Linked DNA regions of Macaca mulatta. The protein of the gene in region 2 purifies or fractionates together with the protein of the main gene of each other region. This does not show direct contact. Links are inferred from orthologs where the notes say so. Each region holds a gene or a part of one and is shown on either strand. Other genes may lie near its edges.

Evidence for each region. Proteins that work in one complex are often made in the same cells at the same time.
Region 1: the proteins of UBXN7 (region 2) and UFD1 purify together in Homo sapiens (affinity purification with mass spectrometry; 3 studies listed by BioGRID and IntAct, with this or other methods). This does not show direct contact. The link is inferred for Macaca mulatta from reciprocal best matches to the Homo sapiens genes UBXN7 and UFD1.

Annotation. Positions count from the first base shown.
Region 1 is NC_133415.1:33,250,496-33,255,415, forward strand, and holds part of UFD1 (ubiquitin recognition factor in ER-associated degradation protein 1), read left to right. Parts: intron 1-1,415; coding exon 1,416-1,484; intron 1,485-2,645; coding exon 2,646-2,711; intron 2,712-2,927; coding exon 2,928-2,975; intron 2,976-3,796; coding exon 3,797-3,885; intron 3,886-4,722; coding exon 4,723-4,804; exon of another isoform or gene 4,805-4,920. UniProt on the Homo sapiens protein: Essential component of the ubiquitin-dependent proteolytic pathway which degrades ubiquitin fusion proteins.
Region 2 is NC_133407.1:1,971,578-1,977,065, reverse strand, and holds the start of UBXN7 (UBX domain-containing protein 7), read left to right. Parts: upstream 1-2,027; 5' UTR 2,028-2,146; coding exon 2,147-2,447; exon of another isoform or gene 2,448-4,378; intron 4,379-5,488. UniProt on the Homo sapiens protein: Ubiquitin-binding adapter that links a subset of NEDD8-associated cullin ring ligases (CRLs) to the segregase VCP/p97, to regulate turnover of their ubiquitination substrates.

The DNA.
Region 1 (4,920 bases), on a different chromosome or scaffold from region 2:
GATCTCGGCTTACTGCAAGCTCCACCTCCCGGGTTCACACCATTCTCCTGCCTCAGCCTCCTGGGACTACAGGAGCCTGCCACCACTCCTAGCTAAGTTTTTGTATTTTTTAGTAGAGACGGGGTTTCACCATGTTAGCCAGGATGGTCTCGTTCGCCTGACCTCGTGATCCGCCTGCCTCAGCCTCCCAAAGTGCTGGGATTACAGGTGTGAGCCAATATGCACAGCCCTGCTTCTGGACATTTTTCATGTGCATTTTTTACATTCGCGAGGTCATCTTAGACACAAGCAACATGACTGGTTTTAAAATTCTTTTCCTGTTGGCTGCATAGCATACTGTTGTATAACTATAAATTTATATATGAACAAATATAATTCAGCTGCCTTTTGAGTATACAGACAGTCCCTGACCGTGGTTCTACCTAGAATTTTTCAACTTTGTGATGATTCAAACATGATACACATTCAGTAAAAACCATACTTTGAATATTTATAAAACCATTGTTTTTTATCTTCAGTACAGTATTCAATAAATTACATGAGTTATTCAACATTTGATTATAAAATAAGCTTTATATTAGATGATTTTGCCCAACTCTAGGCTAACGTATGTGTTCTGAGAATGGTTAAGGCAGGCTGCACTATGATGTTTGGTAGGTTAGGAGTATTAATACATTTTTAACTTATGATAAGTTTATGGGACTCGGTTCCATCGTAAGTCAAGGCGCATCTGTACAGTGGCATTAGTGACATTGGTATGAGCCTTCTTAGAATGTTCTCATTGGGAATAGCTAGTTATTTACTTAGAATAAATTTTGAAGGCCAAGTGCGGTGGCTCATGTCTGTAATCCCAGCTCTTTGGGTGGCCGAGGTGGGCAGATCACCTGAGGTCAGGAGTTCAAGACCAGCCTGGTCAACATGGTGAAACCCCGTCTCTACAACAATACACAAATTAGCCACGTGTGGTGGCGCATGCCTATAGTCCCAGCTACTAGGGAGGCTGAGGCAGGAGAAGTGCTTGAAGCCAGGAGGCGGAGGTTCCAGTGAGCCGAGATCACACCACTGCACTCCAGCCTGGGCAATAGGGCAAGACTCTGTCTAAAAATAAAATAAATAGTAAAGTTCCAGAAGTGAACTTTCTGAGTTAGAGATTGTTAGTGTCTTTTGCAGTTAGCTGTATAACTACCTTGTCTAATTTGAACCACATCTGGGGAACAGCATCTCTTCTGCGATGGGCACAGGGCAGCCTGTCCCTTATGGTAGTGTTGTCACAGCAAGAAGTGCAGCTGTAGGTTGTGTCGTGGGCGTGAATGCTGTGTCATTCGCGGGAGCCGGTAGAGCCACAGTAACATGGACAGCGACAGCTTCAGTGCTGCCAGGAAACCATCCAACTGATTTCTGTGTTTGCCCCACAGATCTACGAACTGCGTGTGATGGAGACCAAACCTGACAAGGCAGTGTCCATCATTGAGTGTGACATGAACGTGAGTGGCTCTGTCCAGTTACAGTGAGCCTGGGCCCTGGGAGGATGGGCACTTGGTGACCACTGCAGGCCAGGGTGTCAGGAGGGCATCAAACAGCCCCTGGGACTCTTTGGGCAAAGAGGAGGAAGATGCTGTCAGAACATCATGAGGAGACTGTGACCTTGTCATCTATCTCAGGGCCAGTTGAGGCAACAGAGTGTTGCCAGTGCTGCCATGGTTAGCTCTGACCTGTTGAGGAGTGAATTTTATTTTTTTATTTATTTTTTGAGACTGTGTTTCACTCCTGTTGCCCAGGCTGGAGTGCAGGGGCCTGATCTTGGTTACAACCTCCACCTCCCAGGTTCAAGCGATTCTCCTGTCTCAGCCTCCCGAGTAGCTGGGATTACAGGCATGTGCCACCATGCTCGGCTAGTTTTGTATTTTAGTAGAGACGAGGTTTTACCATGTTGGCCATGCTGGTCTCAAACTCCTCACCTCAGGTAATCCACCCACCTTGGCCTCCCAAAGTGCTGAGATTACAGATATGGGCCACCACGCCTGGCTGAGGAGTGAATATTCTTAAGAGCTAAGGAAGCGTGCTGAACCTTCTGAGTAGGAATGAAGTGCTGATGCACACAGCATCCTGGTTGTATTACTAGGCAATACTGCTGAGCAAAAAAGGCCAATCCCAAAAAGTTACTTCATTATATAGCATCCTTAAAGTGACAGAGCTTTAGAAATGGAAGACAGACTAGGGGTTGCCAGGGCTTAGGACTGGTGGAGGGGGCTGGGAGACAGCTGGGTATGGTTATAAAAAGACAACATGGGCAATCCTAGTGGTGGTGAAACTGTTCTACATCTCCACTGTGGTGGATACATGGACCTACACAGTGATTACATTGTGTAGAACTAAAGATACACATAAACAAAAACATGTAAAACTGGGAAATCTGAATAAGAGTGGTGGGTTGTGCCAGTGTTAATATCTTAGCAGCAATACTTTACTGTAATTTTGTAAGATGCTACCGTTGGGAAAACTGGGCAAGTGTACAAGGCATCTTTCTGTATTATTTCTTAAAACTGCATGTGAATCTATAATTGTCTCAATTAAAAGCAAAAAAGATAAGGAAGCCAAGGGTGGCCATGTCTGAATATTTTACTTTTAAAATCCTGGAAACACAGGTGGACTTTGATGCTCCCCTGGGCTACAAAGAACCCGAAAGACAAGTCCAGCATGAGGAGTCGACAGTAAGTGTTATCCCCAGTGTCCTTTGCTGTCCTGCTGCATGCTGCTTTTGAGTTCCTGGTAGTGACTCGTGGGTGGCCTCTGCTGGTGTTGGTGTCATATCCTCTGCGTCCCTTCCAGCCATGCTTCCGGGGGACATTCTAGCTGGGGGTGGGGGATGAGAGGGAAGCTGGGTGTTCCCGCTGAGGAGCTCACCTATTTTTCTTTTTCTCTGTCAGGAAGGTGAAGCCGGCCACAGTGGCTATGCTGGAGAGCTGGGCTTCCGCGTGAGTACCAGACCACTTGACTTACGTTGCTGTGCCCTCTGCTCCTTGAAATTAGAGCACTCACTCAAGCTGTTCTTCATGATGCTCGATGGACATCAGCAGGGGCTGGGCCTCTGGGTACCTGTGCACATGCATGCAAATCTACCACTTGCTCAGTTACCAAACACTTTTATATCTACTCTCTGCTGGAATCTTCCCAACAGCCCCATAAGGCAGCCCAGCTTTTTAAGAATTTCTAACCTACCGAAGAGTTTAAATAGTACAGTAGACATATACTCTTCCCTTAGGTTCACCAAACGTTACCACATTTGCTTTCTCTCTCTTGTAAATCATGTTTCCTTTTTTCTTTGCCTGTACCATGTGGGTTGCAAACATGACCCTTAGCATAACCACTGGCAAGGCTCCGTGGGAAACAGGTGGAGGTGGCTCATGTGTGGGCACTGAGGTGGCAGGAGGTGCCAGGAAGCAGCAGAGACAGCAGAATGATGGGAAGCTGAGCTATGGGGCAGTCACAACAGTGACCTTAGCCCACCCACAGAGCTTGAACTGGGTGGCCCTGCAGAGGCAGGGGTCAGGCCTTTTAACCTAACACTGACTGCTGGCTGCCCTTGGCCAAGTGGCTCTCTTCAGCTCATGGCCGCCCCCTGAGGAACTGGGCAGAGTTCTCAGCTGCCAGCACCCCAGCAGCTGAGGAGTCAGGGCTTCGGTCCTGAAGGGTCTGCACAGCACCCCAGCTCACATCCCTGCAGTGATCTCCAAGCAAAGGACATATCTGTCCTCACACTTGGGCTCATTATATGACTCAACTGCTTCCTGTCTAGGCTTTCTCCGGCTCTGGCAATAGACTGGATGGAAAGAAGAAAGGGGTGGAGCCCAGCCCCTCCCCAATCAAGCCTGGAGATATTAAAAGGTAAGTCTGTCTTGGCTGTCCTTCAGGACAGGAGGAGGATCTGTGCCAGCCCTCTGGGGTGGGGCAGCCTCACCCCAGTTCTGGAGACAAAGCCTGGGTCAGTAGGCCCAAGGGACTTACCCTTACCTGCTCTCCTTGGTGGGGTGGAGCACAACATGTCCCTCCTTCCACAGTGCCACCCCCAGTACCACTGTGGTCCAGCCTCACTCCATACCTCAATTCAGCGTCTTCTTGCCCCCAGTGGCTTTCCGAAGATGTGCGTCTGATCAGATCTGTCTCTTATTCAAAACCCTTCTGGTCCCTATTTGGTGATCTGCCTATTTTCCTGTTTTGTGACTTTGAATTATTAATCAGGTCACATTATCTTAGTTCTCCTGAAAGTTCCCTGAGGAGCTACCTCAGATGTGCTTCTGTTGCTGGGTCCAGGGACCCACAGCAGACCCTTCCTCTGGTGGCCATGATGGCAGGGGCAGGGCTGAGGTGTGTCAGTTGTCTGTTGTGTGTGTGAAATCAGGAGAATACTGGAGTGAGAGTCTAGCCACCTCAGGGGGTTCTGTGAAGCTCAGGACAGTGACAGTGAGGGCTTCCCAATCCTTCAGATGACCCCTCTCCATAGACAGGTACAGAGCCTAAAGCCCCTGGCCCTATACCCAATGCTGATACTAAACCAGGAAGCCAGTTACCTTCTGCTTCCCTCCTGGGAGGATGCCAGGAAGCACCAAAGGGCCCAGGTGGGGTGCAGCAGCATCTTTTCTGCATTCCTCTTCACTGTCATAAATGAATTTTAGTCCTTTTTTCCTGGAAATAACATTTCTCCTTGTCTCTCTCTTCTTACAGAGGAATTCCCAATTATGAATTTAAACTTGGTAAGATAACTTTCATCAGAAATTCACGTCCCCTTGTCAAAAAGGTTGAAGAGGTGAGTGTATTTCCTCGGTTGGTAATGAGGAGATTTATTTGCTAGTGATGACTGAGGTTCCTGGCATTCTGAGTAGGGGTGTGTATTAGTCTGTTTCCAAGCTGCTGGTAAAGACA
Region 2 (5,488 bases):
AGCTAATTTTTGTAATTTCAGTAGAGATGGGGTTTCGCCATGTTGGCCAGGCTGGTTTCCAACTCCTGACTTCAGGTGATCCGCCCGCCTCGGCTTCCCAAAGTGCTGGGATTACTGGAGTCTGCTTTCTTTTACAGTAATCATATCTTCCTGAAACTATAGCCCGGCCGGGCGCGATGGTTCATGCCTGTAATCCCAACACTTTGGGAGGCTGAGGCAGGCGGATCACTTGAGGTCAGCAGTTTGAGACTAGCCTGGTCAACATCGTCTCTACTAAAAATAGAAAAATTAGTCTGGCGTGGTGGTTCGTGCCTGTAATCCCAGTTACTTGGGAGGCTGAGGCAGGAGAATCGCTTGAACTGGGGAGATGGAGGTTGCAGTGAGCTGAGATTGCGCCACTGCACTCCAGCCTGGGCAACAGAGTGAGACTCCCTGTCAAACAAAACAAAACAAAACAAAAAACTATACCCCTTGATTTGACATGGCTATTTAAATTCTCCCCAATAGCATATTTACTCTTAAGATGTGTCAATTCTTCAGATAGCTCATCCCATCTTTTATTGGGCCATTTTCCTCTGAAGATGCAAAATATGTGGGTGGAGGCTGGAAGGTAGGAGGCTAAAACAAACAGAATCGCATGGAATCTCCTTTTTTTTTTTTTGAGACGGAGTCTTGCTCAGTCGCCCAGGCTGGAGTGCAGTGGTGCAATCTCGGCTCACTGCAAGCTCCACCTCCCGGGTTGACGTCATTCTCCTGCCTCAGCCTCCCCAGCAGCTGGGACTACAGGTGCCCGCCACCTCGCCCGGCTAATTTTTTTGTATTTTTAGTAGAGACGGGGTTTCACCGTGTTAGCCAGGATGGTCTCGATCTACTGACCTCATGATCCGCCCACCTCGGCCTCCCAAAGTGCTGGGATTACAGGCGTGAGCCACGGCACCCGGCCGCACGGAATCTCTTTTAACTTTATGGGGGCCGGGCGCGGTGGCTCAAGCCTGTAATCCCAGCACTTTGGGAGGCCGAGACGGGTGGATCACGAGGTCAGGAGATCGAGACCATCCTGGCTAACACGGTGAAACCCCGTCTCTACTAAAAAAAATACAAAAACATAGCCGGGCGAGGTGGCGCGCGCCTGTAGTCCCAGCTACTCGGGAGGCTGAGGCAGGAGAATGGCGTGAACCCGGGAGGCGGAGCTTGCAGTGAGCTGAGATCCGGCCACTGCACTCCAGCATGGGCGACAGAGCGAGACTCCGTCTCAAAAAAAAACAAAAAAAAAACAACAAAAAAAAACACAAAACTTTATGGGCAAGGTGGGGAATCATTAGATTTGAGCGCACCCCACTCATGTAACTGTTTTACAAAATAAAATTATTCAAGTAACACACGAATTTTTTTTTTTGAGATGGATTCTTGATATATTTCCCAGTCTGGTCTCGAACTCCTTGCCTCAAGCGATTCTCCCACCTCGGCCTTCTAAAGTGCTGGGATTACAGTTATGAGCCACCGCGCCCGGCCAGTAATGTTTGTTTAAAAATAAAAAGATAAATAAGAAACTCGAAGTAAAGTCTGCTTTGACCATCGTGCCCATCGTTCTCCCCTCTGAAGGTAACCATTACCAGCGTTTTGAGCACACTTTTCCAGTCTCCTTTCTATATGTCTTCTCAACTCTATTGCATATACAGAGTTTCTTTTTATACACATGACACCTCTTGGGGTCTCACTAAGACGCTAACGGGAGACGTGATGGCCGATTTATTTAAGGAAAGCAGACTAAATAATCGCTGATGAAAACCCACTGGGTGTCAACCCTGCGCTAGGTGCTTTCTTTGGCATGAAGGGTTCTGGAATTTCACTCGCCACAGTCGGTGAGCTGAGCCATTAGTCTAGAGGCTGGGGGGCGGGGTCGGGGAGAGTCGCTTCAAAGCGAGGAGGCAGGGTTTGTATTTTGATGGGACCTAACAGAGCGCGGAGCAACTGCGAAGCAGAAAAAATACCGTTACCGGAGTTGGCCCTGTCAATAAAGCTCGCGAAGCTGAAATGCGAAATATCTGCCAAGACGGAAGCTTCCTTCGGAATGTAGGAATCGACACTGCGCCTGCGAGACTAGCCTTGGAGCCCGGAGAGGAAAGCACCAGCAGTGGCAAAAACGATGCACCGGGCAGGCAGCAACCGAGCAGCCAACCGGAGAGCGGGTAGCGCTCCGGCCCGGTGGGCAAGTGCGCCTGCGCAGACCACTGGAGGGGGCCGGGAGGGGCGGGGCTTGGGGGCGGGGCTTGAGGGGCGGTCAATGCGCCTGCGCACACCGCGCGGCGAGGTGGGGGAGGGCGGTCCGTGTGTGTCTGTGTTGTTGTTCGGCGGCGGCGGCGGCGGCGGTAAGATGGCTGCCCACGGGGGCTCCGCGGCGTCCTCGGCGCTGAAGGGGTTAATTCAACAGTTCACCGCCATCACCGGTAAGAGACGCGGTTACCGGAAGGTGGAGGGGGGGGTCCGGAGCGGGCGGCGGGTCTGCCCCGGGCTGCCCCTCACCTTCAGGCATTCCTCCTTCGGGCTTTACCCACAGCTCCCGTCCTCCCTCCTGAGGAAGAGGCGACGACGGCGTCGGGGTCTCCGGGTTCAGGCGGGAGACAGCCCCCGCGCTCCCGAGACCCTCGTTCTCTGTCTCCTAGTAGTGTGGAGGGAGATCCCCCAGCCCCCCGCCAGCCCAGACCTGGGAATGGGCCGAGTCCGCCGCCCCCGCCGGCCCGGGGACCCGGGGGCGGGAGGAGTGGGGGGCCGCACCCGGGCCACCGCCCTCCTCCTCCTCCTTCATCATCTCCCTTCTCGGTGCAGCCCTGCGGGGCGGTGCGTCTCCTCACCTCCGTTTTCCTTTCTTCCCCGGCCAGGTCATCCTGCCCCGGTCCCCGGCCTGCCCTTCCCCTTTCCGGGCCCCTCGGAGCCATCGCCGTGGCCCTGGCGGGTTCGGGCCCTCCCGCCTTCACGGCGAGGCCGGTGGGTTCGGCCGTGCCCGTACACTTCCCGGGGGATAGGCCGCCAGAAGCGGGGGTGCCGAGGAGGACCCGGGGACTGCGGCTTAGAGGGAAGAATGAGGGGGACCCCGAAGCTGAATCGGGGAGGCCTGGAGGAATCCTGGGTGGCGTTTCCCACCTCCCCATAATAAAATCATAAAGACGGAGACGATGGCGCCGGGGCCTCCTGCTGATAAGATAGGGATGGCGGCAGAAACTTCTTTGAGAGAAAATCTGTTTCTGGGTGTCAGTATCCCCGAAACCCTAGGCCTAGGTTGTTCTCTCCCTTTGGACCCCTGCGAAGGGCACACGCAGATCCTCTTACCGCCTGGAGGAAAGGCCCTAAAGCCATTCTCTGAATTCTGTCTTGTTTCTCTCTGATGGTGCTGAACTTTTCTTGCATGAGTTATTAGAGGGCGGAGCAAATGATGAAGTGCTCTGTGGAGGGATTTGAGGGAAGAGTACTCCAGTGTGCCTGAGTGTAATTTTGCCGTTCTAGTTTGTCATTTTGGAAGGAGGTCAGAATGTTAGTTCCCTTTCTCAACGGATCTGTACTTTATCTCGGAATGTGTTAGATGCGGAGAATGTTTCCATGTTAATGTTCCTAGAGTTTAACGTGGAGTATCTGGTTAAGTAAAATTTTATATTGTTTTAACTACTACAGGCTGTATACTAGTTAAAGTTTTATATTAAAGCTAGCTTTATTTTTTTGCTTTGCAGTGATAACGAGATATTTGACGCATTGTTATCTAGCTTGTGGGCATGGAACATCAGGTCAAAGTTAGTAAAGTAAAATTTGTAATGAAATTGGGGTGAGGAGTTACATGATAACTTCTCTTAATATTTTTAAACTTTGTGATTGGATTATTGAAGATATAAAGGATTGAATTATTAAATATATAAAGGATTTCGTAATGTCTAACAAATCATTGCTGTGGAGAAGATTATTGTGTATATAAGTTAGTGTTGATGCGTTATGCTTATATAGAAAAATTTTCGCAGTGAATCTGATAGAGAAGTGAATATCACTATTAATCCTTTCTTTAGATTTCCTAGAGATAGTTTATGATGCCACTTGGGCCTGGCGCGGTGTCTCACACCTGTAATCCCGGCAGTTTGGGAGACGGAGGCTGGAGATTCACGTGAGGCAAGGAGTTAGAAACCATCCTGGGCAAAACATAGTGAGGCCCCATCTATACAGAAAAAAAAAGTGAGCTGGATGTAGTGGCACCGACATGTAGTCCCAGCTACTGGGGAGGCTGAGGTGGGAGGATTGCTTGAGCCTAGGAGTTAAAGGCTGCAGTGAGTTGATCATGCCACTGCACTCCATCCCTGGCAGGAGAGCAAGACCATTTCTCAAAAAACAAAAAGAAGGAAAAAAAGCCACATTATTATTATTATTTTGAGACAGAGTCTCGCTCTGTTGCCCAGGCTGGAGTGCAGTGGTACGATCTCGGCTCACTGCAACCTCTACCTCCCGGGTTCAAGCGATTCTCCTGTCTCAGCCTCCCTAGTAGCTGGGACTACAGGCGCCTGCCACGAGGCCCGGCTAATTTTTGTATTTTTAGTAAAGACGGGGTTTCATCATGTTGGCCTGGCTGGTCTTGAACTCCTGTCCTCAAATGATCCACTCACCTCAGCCTCCCAAAGTGCTAGGATTACAGGCGTAAGCCACCGTGCCTGGCCCTAAAAGCCACTTAATTAATTTTCAGTTTCTTATGCTAATTACTAGTCTTCCCAAACTCTGATTGGTTTAACGCCACTTTACTACTTCTGTTGCAACATTTTTATTAGGTGCACAAAAAAACCAAAGTGTGATGAGGTGAATTGACTCACTTAATTGCTTTAATTCTGTTTCTGTTAGTCTACACAGCTTGATTTCTGGATCAAGTTGGAGGCCCTCCATCAGTAGACAATGATGTCTGAAAATCTACAGAGGGAAGATACCTCAGAGTGTTCCTGAAATACTGTGAATTTCTATTGATAATTTTTGGGATTCTTCTTACAAGTTAGTGATTAACCATTAGAAACACATGATTGGTTTCTTTTTGCCTTTTTTACATGCCTTAAAAAGAATTTTTTTGGAGTTCTCTCCACATATGTTTAAATCATAGTGTTTATGATTAAAAGGTATTTTACATTTATTAATTGCTGGATGAATTATAGTGACCTTAATCACTTATGCTCTGATTTCACAGAGGTTTTACTTGGAAGCTCAACATTCTTGTAAAAACAAATGCATCATCAAAAATGTGAGTCCTTATTCCTTAGGCAGGAGGGAAAAAAAGAAAAAGAAAAAAATTAAAATAAATGTGAGTCTTATCTTTTCTTTGGCATTTAGAAATAGAACGGAAAATTGAAAGATTTTAGAAAAGTCTTATTTCTTACTGAATAGAACAGATCTCTCTCTGATTCAGTGAGTATGACATAATGACTGAGTTTTGATTTTTTTTTTTTTTTTTTTTTTTAAGAGATGGAGGTCTCCT